2 linked regions of the Schizosaccharomyces pombe genome follow. The gene in region 1 interacts genetically with each later gene. Each region holds a gene or a part of one and is shown in the gene's direction. Other genes may lie near its edges. The genes, in order: ppk18 and igo1.

What was found.
Region 2: of ppk18 (region 1) and igo1, changing one suppresses a phenotype caused by changing the other (phenotypic suppression), as found in Schizosaccharomyces pombe (one study listed by BioGRID).

Annotation. Positions count from the first base shown.
Region 1 is NC_003424.3:3,975,742-3,982,942, reverse strand, and holds ppk18 (serine/threonine protein kinase Ppk18), read left to right. Parts: upstream 1-2,087; 5' UTR 2,088-2,253; coding exon 2,254-2,384; exon of another isoform or gene 2,385-2,429; intron 2,430-2,747; coding exon 2,748-6,573; 3' UTR 6,574-6,691; downstream 6,692-7,201. Other genes in the region: SPOM_SPAPB18E9.04C (uncharacterized protein), read left to right, coding at 1-241; tRNA (guanine) methyltransferase Trm5, read right to left, coding at 6,864-6,929, 6,981-7,061, 7,111-7,201.
Region 2 is NC_003424.3:1,236,866-1,240,819, forward strand, and holds igo1 (serine/threonine protein phosphatase inhibitor Igo1), read left to right. Parts: upstream 1-2,030; coding exon 2,031-2,114; intron 2,115-2,159; coding exon 2,160-2,243; exon of another isoform or gene 2,244-2,307; coding exon 2,308-2,559; 3' UTR 2,560-3,320; downstream 3,321-3,954. Other genes in the region: SPOM_SPAC10F6.15 (uncharacterized protein), read left to right, coding at 1-100; SPOM_SPAC10F6.17C (bifunctional phosphoprotein phospatase/[pyruvate dehydrogenase (acetyl-transferring)]-phosphatase), read right to left, coding at 3,456-3,954. UniProt on the Schizosaccharomyces pombe protein: Plays an essential role in initiation of the G0 program by preventing the degradation of specific nutrient-regulated mRNAs via the 5'-3' mRNA decay pathway.

The DNA of each region.
Region 1 (7,201 bases):
AGTTAAGACAGCTTCCACTTCTAGTGGCACTGAAATTAAAACGGCTTCCACTTCTAGCGGTAGCAGCTCGAGCTCGAGCTATACTCCTGCTTCGTCTACTTCTACTACTACTAGCAGTGTCAGTTCAAGGCAATCGTCAAGCAGCTCTTCATTCACTCCTTCTTCTGCCATTTCTACCGCAAAAAGCTCTTTCGTATTGAGTACGTTGTCAATTCTTATTGCGCTTTATATGGTCGCTTAGGTGATTGGTATGCGATGAAAATTTAACTTGTGGTTTGATGAAATATATCTGATGGTTTGTTGTTTGTATGATCGTGGTGACCGCTGAATAATATAAACTTCTCTATGTTCATTCGAATTATCGATTAGCTAAACTGAGCTCAAGGCTTTTTCATGTGCTTTTTTTGTTCTCGTTCACAGCGGTTATCGGTTATTTATTTTTTACGAGCATAACTGCATCTCAAGAATCTTTTATATTTCTGCCCGCTATGTTAGTAAAGCAGAGTATCTAAGAAACCTGACACTGTTATGGTCGTCTATTTTTTTGAATTCGTGATTCTTTAACATCTCGTAATTTCATTTCGAAATATAATGAATCTTTAGCTTATAAGAAAAGTCATGTGATTAATGTTTTCAAGTAAGTTGTAGCTAAGAATAACTAATATTGTATTGTGTAAGTTGTTAGATTATACAGTAATATTGCACTATTATGAATACGACAATGATGGAGACGTTAATTTCAAGTTGTTAAAGAAGAAGTTGGTGTAAGTTTTCCATGTGCTTGAATTATCGAGCAATTCCTAATTTAACCGTTTTCCACACCACTGTTCTTCCCATGCTAACCTAAAACTAATAAACAGTTGCCAGGGATGATAATATATTTTTTATTGCAAATTAGTATCAGCCGATGCGTTTTCTCTAAAAATGGGTTTTACCATGTATGCAATAAAATGATCAACTTGTGATGAGTGAGTTATTCTCCCTACCAAAATTTTCGTTACGATATGGAAAATTTAGAAAAAACATAGTAAAGGAAATCGTTTTGCTTTTCGAATGAATTTCGGGGGTTCAACTCTAAAATGGAACTTTTCTTTGTGGTAGTGTACACGCTATACACTCTTTTAGTCAACTGTCAAGTAATCGAATTTGGAAATATGATCTTAACATAGAGTATAATGTATTCTTTTAAGATATACGGAAATTTATTAGAACGCTGTGCATGAGAGCGTGGGAGTGTAAAATCCGGTACAGAAAACGGTTTCTCTGATGACCCATCCATTACCAATTTTATTCAGCAGGTACTAATGAAAAGCGACAGAAATTATGATTTTGGAAAAGAATAGCAGTTATGACCTACTTATCTATTAACAAATTGGTAACTCCTTATGCATCAATAATACATATGCATTCCTTACCAACACAGCTGTGAGCATATTGAATGATGGGGTGTCTAAACAAAGCAACTCGAATATCCTATTTTCAACACTATGAATGGGCGCATTCATCCCTATTCCAACAGATCTGTAAACATTAGCCTGTGAACAAATTAGTAGTGCGAATCGGAGGAATAGTTGGGCTGCAAGGAGGGTATCCCTGCTTTAAAGAGGGATTGAAGAAGAACAGGTTTTAATCCTAACTGCCAAAATATCAATCCTCCATCTATAATTGGTACTAAGCGGATTAAGCGCATACGTGCATGCGCGCAGTCGCACTTTTGTTTGAGACCTTTCCGCGCAAAATCATGTTACAGAAATGAAAGCAGAATAACACATCATGGAAGACATTTCCAAAAAAAATCCGCATTTCTACAGCTTGCATTACATTGTCTCGCTTTCCTTTCAATCACCAACCTTTTTTCATCTTGCAATGAAAATTCATAAACCGAAGTATAGCGATCAACGATATATAATTATATAATTATTGCCATCGAAATCGTTATTTAAGACATCGGCTCGCGATCTCTCCCCTTAGTGAATCCTGATCAAGGGATAAGTAAGCACAGGTATCAATCGTCCCAGGGTAACAATGATTAGCCTCTACGCACTGCTCACTCATATAAATATTGACACAGTCATCAAGAGCCACCCACGTTCATAAATTGGGTGTTTGATTAGAATATCAATTGGTTACCGTATTGTCTATGTTTTTTTAGTCGATAGATTGGGTTTTATGAAATAACGAAACGCTAATTGTATTCGAATGGTTTTACTTGTCGCACATTAGGATCAAAATCTGAATGGAGTTATAAAGTTAATGGTAATGCAAGAACGCAATTCCAACGAGGATAACAAAGTAAATCACGGAATAGACAACATTTATGTCTTGGAGTTAGATTTAGACGGATCTGTGCTGTTTGCAAGTACAAACTTCTCACAGATTACCGGGTAAGTGCAGTGGAATAGCGGGCGATGTTACGAAATTTCTCTGTGTTGTTGGCAGAAGGATACCATTGCTTGCTAGAATATTTATATTGTACATTTAATTTGTATCTTTCTTTTAACGATTCGGTTGGTATGACTTTGCAGATTACGCAAAAATAGCCATTGAATAAGGCTTCAATTGCCTTGATCTGTAAGTCATACGTATAATACTTAAATCTTCTATTTGCTGCCGACCTGTTTTAGTTCTTTTAAGCTGGATTGGCCAAGCTATGGCTGATACTCCTTGGGTCGCCTCTGTCCTTCAACTTTTGAAATCTTGCTCTTTTTCAATTTATTGCTAGGTCTTTTACTAACCAAGTTGCATAGAATTAGTTCGTTAGAACTTACTGGCAAACCTGCAGCTCTTCTGTCATCCGACCAGGAGATATTCAACGCAGCCATTGAACAGCTTCTTGACGATGACTCCCACAGTGTTAAAATTCATACCGTGATTTCGAAGCTGCCCTCCTTGGAGGAAAATGTCTTTGTTCAGGATGAGGAAATGGAGCTGCAATCAAAGTCTGTCGAATTGGATTGCGTTGGTGTCCTCATTCGTGATCCCTTAACCAGCCGACCCTCTCATACATTATGGGTTTTGCAACCTTTGAAGCCCACGCGAATCACTCGTCAGGAAATAGGCCAGCAACTCACAGAAACTCTAGGTTTTGGAGCTCAGTTACTGGCCCAACATCTTGAAAAGCTTCAAACCGTTCCTTCCACCGATAGTCTTCCTCCCTTTGAAACAGTACTTTGCAGGGTTTGCGATCATGAAATTCAAAATTGGTACTTTGAGCATCATACTGAACTTTGTCTTCTCATTCACCATGCTGAAGCACGTGCTCAAGAAGCAAATGACCTTCTTAACGAACAAAGAAATGCTTTACAAAGTTTGTTGGATTCTTTGGACGATCAGATAGAACCAGATGTATCATATTTGGGAGTTCCTCTCGCCGCCGTCCTTCCTTCCTCTATTACTTCCTCCGCGAAGTCGAATTCCCGGTCATCGTTGTCCCAAAAAATTAGAAATTACATTAGTAACATGCTGTTTGATGCCATAAGTTATACAGATAGTTGTTTAGCCATCCATTTACCTTTCATACCAGAATCCACTACCAGGGAAGACAATCAACCATTTAGTGAAATACGCTTATTATCACCAGCTAGTGAGGTTTTCAATGCAAAAACTCTTTCATGGTGCTTACCACATATTGATGACCCTGGGTTGCAATTGATGTTTGAAAACACGGATGCCTTAGTAAAAAAAAAGCTTGATGCCATTAATCGTCTCAGCAACATCATCTATTATTCTGAGCGTGTTCGTTGTGAAATTGAAGATCAAGTGCAGACCATTATTGAACAATCCATTCAAGTTGATGGTTATGACGAACCTCTCAGTACTACGACTCCTACACTTATTGAACCAATTCAAGAAACCCTTATGACACAATCTCCTATTATTGAATGCGAACCATTTAATACAGTTAAGCCTTCTGTTTCTCCTGAGGAAGTGCACGATATTTCACAGTTCAACCATAGGAATGATCCGCCGATTACTGCTGCTAGTGTTGATTCATCCAATTCTTTTTCAGTCCACCGTTCCTCTACAAATCACAGTAGTACTAATAGTGGATCTCCCAACCTAAGCCGTCGCAACAACCTTGCAATCCCCATTGCTTCTAGAAGAAAATCTGTGAGTGCAGTTAATACTTTATATGGAGTTGGTTCTTCCTATACCTCTGAAAGTTTTCCCTTTAGTAAACTTACTGTCCCAGTTGAGCGTAATTCTTTCCGTGAAACAGAGTCACCAAAACCATTTTTGAGTCGCCAGATTGGCATATCGACACTGTCATCCAACATTAGCAGTGGTAAAGGGACTCCTTCTATTCAAGATTACGAAATTATAAAGCCTATTAGTAAAGGAACCTTCGGCACTGTTTACCTTTCCCGTAAAAATACCACTGGGGAGATTTACGCCATTAAGGTCTTAAGAAAAGTTGACATGATTTCAAAAAATCAGGTCGCTAATGTGAAAGCTGAAAGGGCTGTGCTTATGGCGCAAGAAGAATCTGCATTTGTTGCAAAATTGTATTATGCCTTTCAAAGTAGGGATTACCTCTATCTTGTTATGGAATTCATGAATGGAGGGGATTGTGCATCCCTATTAAAATCGTTGTACACTATACCGGAATCGTGGGCAAAAATTTACATTGCTGAAGTTGCATTAGGTCTTGAGCATTTACATAGGCTTGGTATAATTCATCGTGACATTAAACCGGACAATATCCTTATGAGTATTACTGGACATCTGAAATTAGCGGATTTCGGCTTAAGTCAGTTAGGTTTAACTACACGGCAATTACGTTTACAAAAGGGTAAAAATAATATTTTGTCACCACCCAGCTTTCAATCTCCTACTGCGTTGGGTGATCCCGGTGATAATATTGCCAGTTCTCCCTTGATTTTACCTACCAGTGTTAGTGCTTTTTCGTATGATGAAAAATCGCAAAAGCAAAAAACAGAGTTGGCTACATTTACTACGTATAAAGAGGATGATACCACTACTACTACTCGTACGAGCATAGATAGCATCTCTAGTAAATATTTAGAAAGTCCAGTTGACTCTCAGAAAGTCAATCGGACTCCTAATTTACAATCGGTTCCTTTTTTTAGACAACCTGATGCTCCTAAAAGATTCGTTGGTACTCCTGACTATTTAGCACCTGAAACTCTTCGCGGAAGTACACAGGATGATATGGTTGATTGGTGGGCTCTTGGCTGTGTGTTGTTTGAGTTTCTGTTTGGTTATCCACCTTTTCACGCAGAGACCCCGGAAAAGGTATTTGAAAATATTTTGGCTAATAACATTGCATGGCCCGATTTAGAAATGTATCCTTGTTCCGAGGAAGCATTAGACTTGATTAATGGGTTTCTACAGCCAAATCCGGAGAGACGACTTGGGTTTTCGGATATTAATGAAATCAAAGAACATCCTTTTTTTAATGGGATTAATTGGGATGACATTTTTTCACACGAGGCTCCTTTTATACCTGCACCAGAAACCCCACTTGATACTGCATATTTTGATAGTCGTGGAGCTGGGGCTGCAGAATCTAACATGAGCTCATCTGTAAATAGCGGAGAGGAAGTTTCTAAGGATAATAATGTTTCTCAGGAAAGAGGTTCACAATTCCTTCGTTCATCTCATGGTCGCAGTCGTGAGAGAAGTACGTCAGCTCGTAGAAGCCGCCGATTTAGCGAAGCTAACTCAGAGTTTGACGAGTTTGGTCCCTTTTCTTATAAAAATTTAAGCGTTTTGGAAAGAGCTAATCGAAATGCTATTGAAAAAATAAGATCAGAAATAGCTGGCAAATTACATATATCCCCTCCGGATCCACACATTGGATACACCCCTGGTTCCGATATGCCTTCTGCAAAACTTTATGATCAGCAACTAACTTTAAGTCCCTCTTTAATGACAAACCAGGGCTCTAATTTTTCTTCCACTGATTCAACACCTAGGAAGTCCATTAACAGTTCTGATGTTGAATCTCGTTCTAAAACTGATGGCCCGAAGTCAATGCACGATTTGATTAAGCAACTGCATATGCGAAAGCATAGCTCTCATACGAATCAATCAACTGGTTCTTCTGAAAGTGATGATCTTTTTAATCTTGATCTTCCGATTTCGAATTTGGAAACTTCATATCCGTTTAAAATTGAGGAGGGTCAAGCATCTCCTTTGTCTTCTCCACTCTCAAAGACCCCTCCTTTTTTCTCTTCTTCAGTCCCCTTAAAGGCTTTGATATGTGTCAGCAAGCTGAATTTGTTTTCAGAGCTGATCAAGTTACTAAAATCATACAAGTTTCAAGTATCTATTGTTACCGATGAGGACAAAATGTTAAGAACTTTAATGGCTGATGAGAAGTTTTCGATCATATTTCTGCAATTAGATTTAACTCGTGTTTCTGGTGTTTCTATATTAAAGATTGTTCGATCAAGTAATTGTGCTAATCGAAATACGCCAGCTATAGCTTTGACACCTACCAGAATCGATATTAATGCTGCTATTCCTCGCATGTTTGATGGACGGTTATACTTGCCTATCAACGCGTTCCTTTTACGTGGTTATATAGCCCGGCTTTGCAATAAATGAGTTCAAACGTTTGTTAATCGTGATTGCTCATTTTTTGTTGTTACCATACTCTCTTTAATTTTTTCCTTTTTGTTTCTCGAATGTATAATAATTATAATAGTAATAATATTAATAACACTAATTTTTTTGAAAAAAGTTTACTTTTGTCAACTTACAAGACTTTTTTGGATTTATAACTTTTATTTTTACTGAGGTTTTTTCTACAGGATATGTAACAGTTAAAGTAATGAAAAAATAATAAGCCCAAAATAGCTCATCTTCTCCTGAACGACATTTCAATCCTATAAAGACTAACCTGAAACCGGTTTAGCAAATATTATAGAACCAGGTAACGTGAAAGTACAACAGTACATATCCTAGTTGTTTAGTTAGTTACATTAAAAGTGCTATATAAAGAAGGATATTACCTTGTTGGGAGCAACTTTTCGGACATAATAAAAGTCAACTTCTTCAGGAGAAAAACGATACCCCAACGAAGCGTATATCCGCTAAAAAAACTTGGTTAGTAAATTTTCATTTAAAGTAAGCATTTCATACATTTATAAGATCTTCCTCAGGATCGGGAAATCTACAAAAGCAGTGAACATGAACTTTTGGAAGAGAGCGGTCTTTAAACAAGTACTCCAAT
Region 2 (3,954 bases), 2.7 Mb from region 1:
TAACTGCTTAACCAATAGACTAACATTGAATTGTCTGGATACACCTTCAGATGAAAATGGAGAAGATATAGCGATTCAACTGATTATACCTGCTGAATGAGATGAGGATTGATAGAATTCCGAAGAAAATCTCGAGTTGGCTGAATTCGCCAATCCGAAAACATCTTTCACAAAAAAGAACCCAACATCAAGCTTGATGGGTGAGCCTAAAGTTATATGCGAAAGGAATTGAGTTTGCTTTTACTAAAAAATCTAACGAAGCAGATGATTTATGTTGACCAGCTATGGTGAATCGGTGGACCGAATTATCGTTTTGTGACAACGGGAACGAAACGATTTTTTACCCACATTATTACCGAACTACACTCACATCCTGACCTTATGTATTTGGTTGGGGAATGACATGACTGAATTATAAATGATATACAAAAGTTTAAATTAAAATCACGTAAAAGCGAAGAAAACAAAAACAGAAACCAAAAAATTCTTGACCTTACTCGGTATTCTTTACAGTTTCCGTTCCTTTTGTAAGTATAAGAATAAAAACAATGCCTATTTTCGCTTTGCGGTTGCCTGCTGAGCAGAAAACTAAGCGAACCTTAATATTCTTTAAACTTTCCACCATATTTACTTTTATACATTAGAACTGTGTTGTTCAATTTCCTTAATTTTTTCGACTGCAAATTACAGTAAAGTAACAATACGTACTAGAGGATATACAAAATATCTGTTTTAAATGACAGATATTTACTATGTCTTTAATGAAAGATATAATACCTACTTGTAGGTAGTATTCTCTATCAGTAAGCCCATGCGCAAATATCGTACACTCAAAGGACTGATGATGAATGCTGGACAGGTCGGTACAATAACTTTTTGTAGCCAAGTCCATCGCCAAACGTTTCTCCTTCAACTAACTAACTAACTATAAGAACAATCATGCACGTATAACCAAATTATTGTTCCCGTATGCACATACGTTATTGTACATTTGAGTATGCAAACATGAAGGCGACACATCCGCTAACATGCCAAATGTATATCATTCATTGACTGCCACTCGCTTAGCTAAAAGTGCGAACGCATATGTAATTCTATGAGAAATTTAGTCATTTCCACATGTAACAGTAATTTTGCGAATACTAAGGCTAACATGACAATCGTAAGCCAAGAAGACTTCCTAATTTCACTTCAGACGGATGAGCAATTCACAACTAAAAGTTGCCTCAAATCACTACTACCTGTATCACGATTAGAATGAAAATGTCGGATTTTTGAGATGTTATCGCCATGATGCAATCTTTTCGCAACTAAGTACTTTTTCTATTAGCAAGATAAACCGACTCCTTGAAGCAACTTCATTCTCTAGTCCTTATTCTGATCTCCAAGTTAGGTAAATGGAAATTCAACTATTTGTGCAGAAACCCCATCTCCCATTATTACCCTTGCTGCTCTTCTTTCTATCTGTACACTTTGGGAAGGGACTGTTGAGTCGGACATTCAACACTTTTTACAGCCACCAAAAATAGGTTGCCTAGACTAACAATAGGAAGGAACTTGTCGTCATGTTAAAAATCGGCCTTGCTCATAATAATTATTTTATTATTTTATTTTTTTTTTATTAGTTTTGGACGCAGCGATAAAATGCCCGATAAGGTTAGAAAGAATAGGTTATTGGCAAGAAAGTAGGGTTAACAAGTGAGTCGGTAGAAAGCATGTTAATCAAGCGAGTATGCAAAGTCTTCGTCAAGGATTCCACTCACAATAGCAAAGGCAGCAAGTTGTTTGTAAATAGTAAACAAATGACATTTGGCATAAAACCGACCTTATCCACTTTACTTTTTCATCATTCATGAGAAATGCCACTTAATCAATGAATGATCATTTAGTGTAGATTAGCTCATTCAGCCGCTATTTCGTTGGAATCCAGTAATTTTAGAGTGTTTACGTATCGACAAAATTACGTATGATACCTAATACGTTAACAGTGCGGTATCTTAGGCTTCGGTAGACAAGTGGCCGTGTGGTATATGGTAAGAACGCGCAAATGGATGTTGTCAACAACCATAATCGCCATGTCTTCTAGCAATTCAGAGCAGAAAGTAGACGTTGCAGTAAGTTAAGATTGTACAGCTGAAATTGATTATTAACTGAAATAGAAATTAAGTCCAGAAGAACAGAAGCTTTTCCGTTTGTATGGACGACTTCCTCAGCGAAAGGATCTATTAGTTCAAAAATTACAGGTATGGAGGAATGGATGTGTTTTGGATAAATTGTCATATTTATTCTAACTCTACCCCTTTTTAGCAAGGTAGAAAATACTTTGATTCAGGCGACTATGCCTTAAACAAAGCTGGAAAGGCCTCCGATTCAGGTATCACTTGTATTGGTAAGGAGATTCCCTCTCCTGACACAATTCCTCACCGTGTTGTCAGTGCTGGGTCTCCTAATAAAGAGCCGTCTCTTCACACGAAACGACCCTCAGAGTCCTCGCCTAGTGGTGCCAGTAGCAGAAGGGAATCTGTCACGCGACACGACTTGGAAAGCAATGAAAATTGAGGTCATACACGTTGCTATTTTTGCGACAAGGTTGGAGGTTTAATTTGGCTTGGCTCTTAAAATTTGGTATTGCTTGTCGTGTGCGGAAATGCTGTGTGCAAAATTGTGGTCTGGCAAAATGGAACGAACGCGTTTGTTCAGCTGTCAAGAGTTATGAGAAATATATAACGATAAAAGTCTACGAAATGAAAACGCTTACTACTCTAATACTTCCCTTTTCTCTTCCTTACCCTTTTCTACGTAGTTGATGGAGGACAACACTTCTGTTTTATTCAATGCATCGCGCATTCCTTTTCTTCGTTTCTTACTTTAAATCTTTTTTTCATTTTCCTTTATCAACTGTTGTTCTATCTTGTAATTTCTTATATGGTTCACTTGTTTTTTTGTTGTCAGAACACTTGTCACGATTTTGGCTATATGGCATTGTTTAATTCCAATGTTTGATGATTGTTCTCGTCATCGCTCTTGCGTATTGCACTATTGTCGTCTCGTCTTTTTGTGAGTTTCAAGTGTTTTTACTTACTTTATTTTTCTTTTTACATTTATTTACAATGTAACGTTTTATCATTCTATAGAGCAAAATGAGCATATTCTAAAATTTAATTGTTGCCATTCGTCGCCACGTGGATACGGTGTCTCCAACGGTTTTACTTTCGAAAAAAATTTGCTGTATTTCTTTTGTTTTTCTTTTTTTTTTAGCGTGGCTTATCTTACTGAGCTTGGTCAATGTGATAGGAATAAAAAAATGAAGTGTTAATATATATTTTCTCGTAGTGCCAATTTTTTTGTGTTTGGCAGATTATTCAATTAGTCGTTAAGCATTCCTTCTTTTCTTGCTTTTTTTACTCATGAATAAGAGTAGTTATGCGTGAAATAGCATTCCTTATCGTATGTATCTACAAAGTTTTTTCGTCGAAAAAGATCACCGTAACAGTTATGTCGTCACGATACCTTCTTGAAATTGGATAAGTCAAGGTTAATAAAGCAGATATTCTTTGGTCGCTTCCACCCAAAGAATGTCGAATAAGGTGCGTGGCAGCATTATCATCAATGACCTTTGATGTTTTCTTAAACAGCGACCATGATTGTTTGTCATCCTGAGTTGTGTTCTTTTCGTTGGTAGTTTTACCCAAAACTGTATCTGCCCATTCTCCGACCAATTGTACTGCTTGTTCACTGGACATAGTGTCCCAAAGGCCATCGGAAGCCATAATTAGAAAGCGATGCTTCTTTGGATTCACGGTGATACTTTCAATTTCAGGGACCGCAGTAACATATGGAGGAGTTTTAACAGGGATGGGTGAAGCGGAAAAATATTCTCTGTGTAGTCTCTCGCTAATTTCCTGGGACCATTTGTAACGAGCGTCGCCAAAGGCTCTTGAAGGCATAAGACGT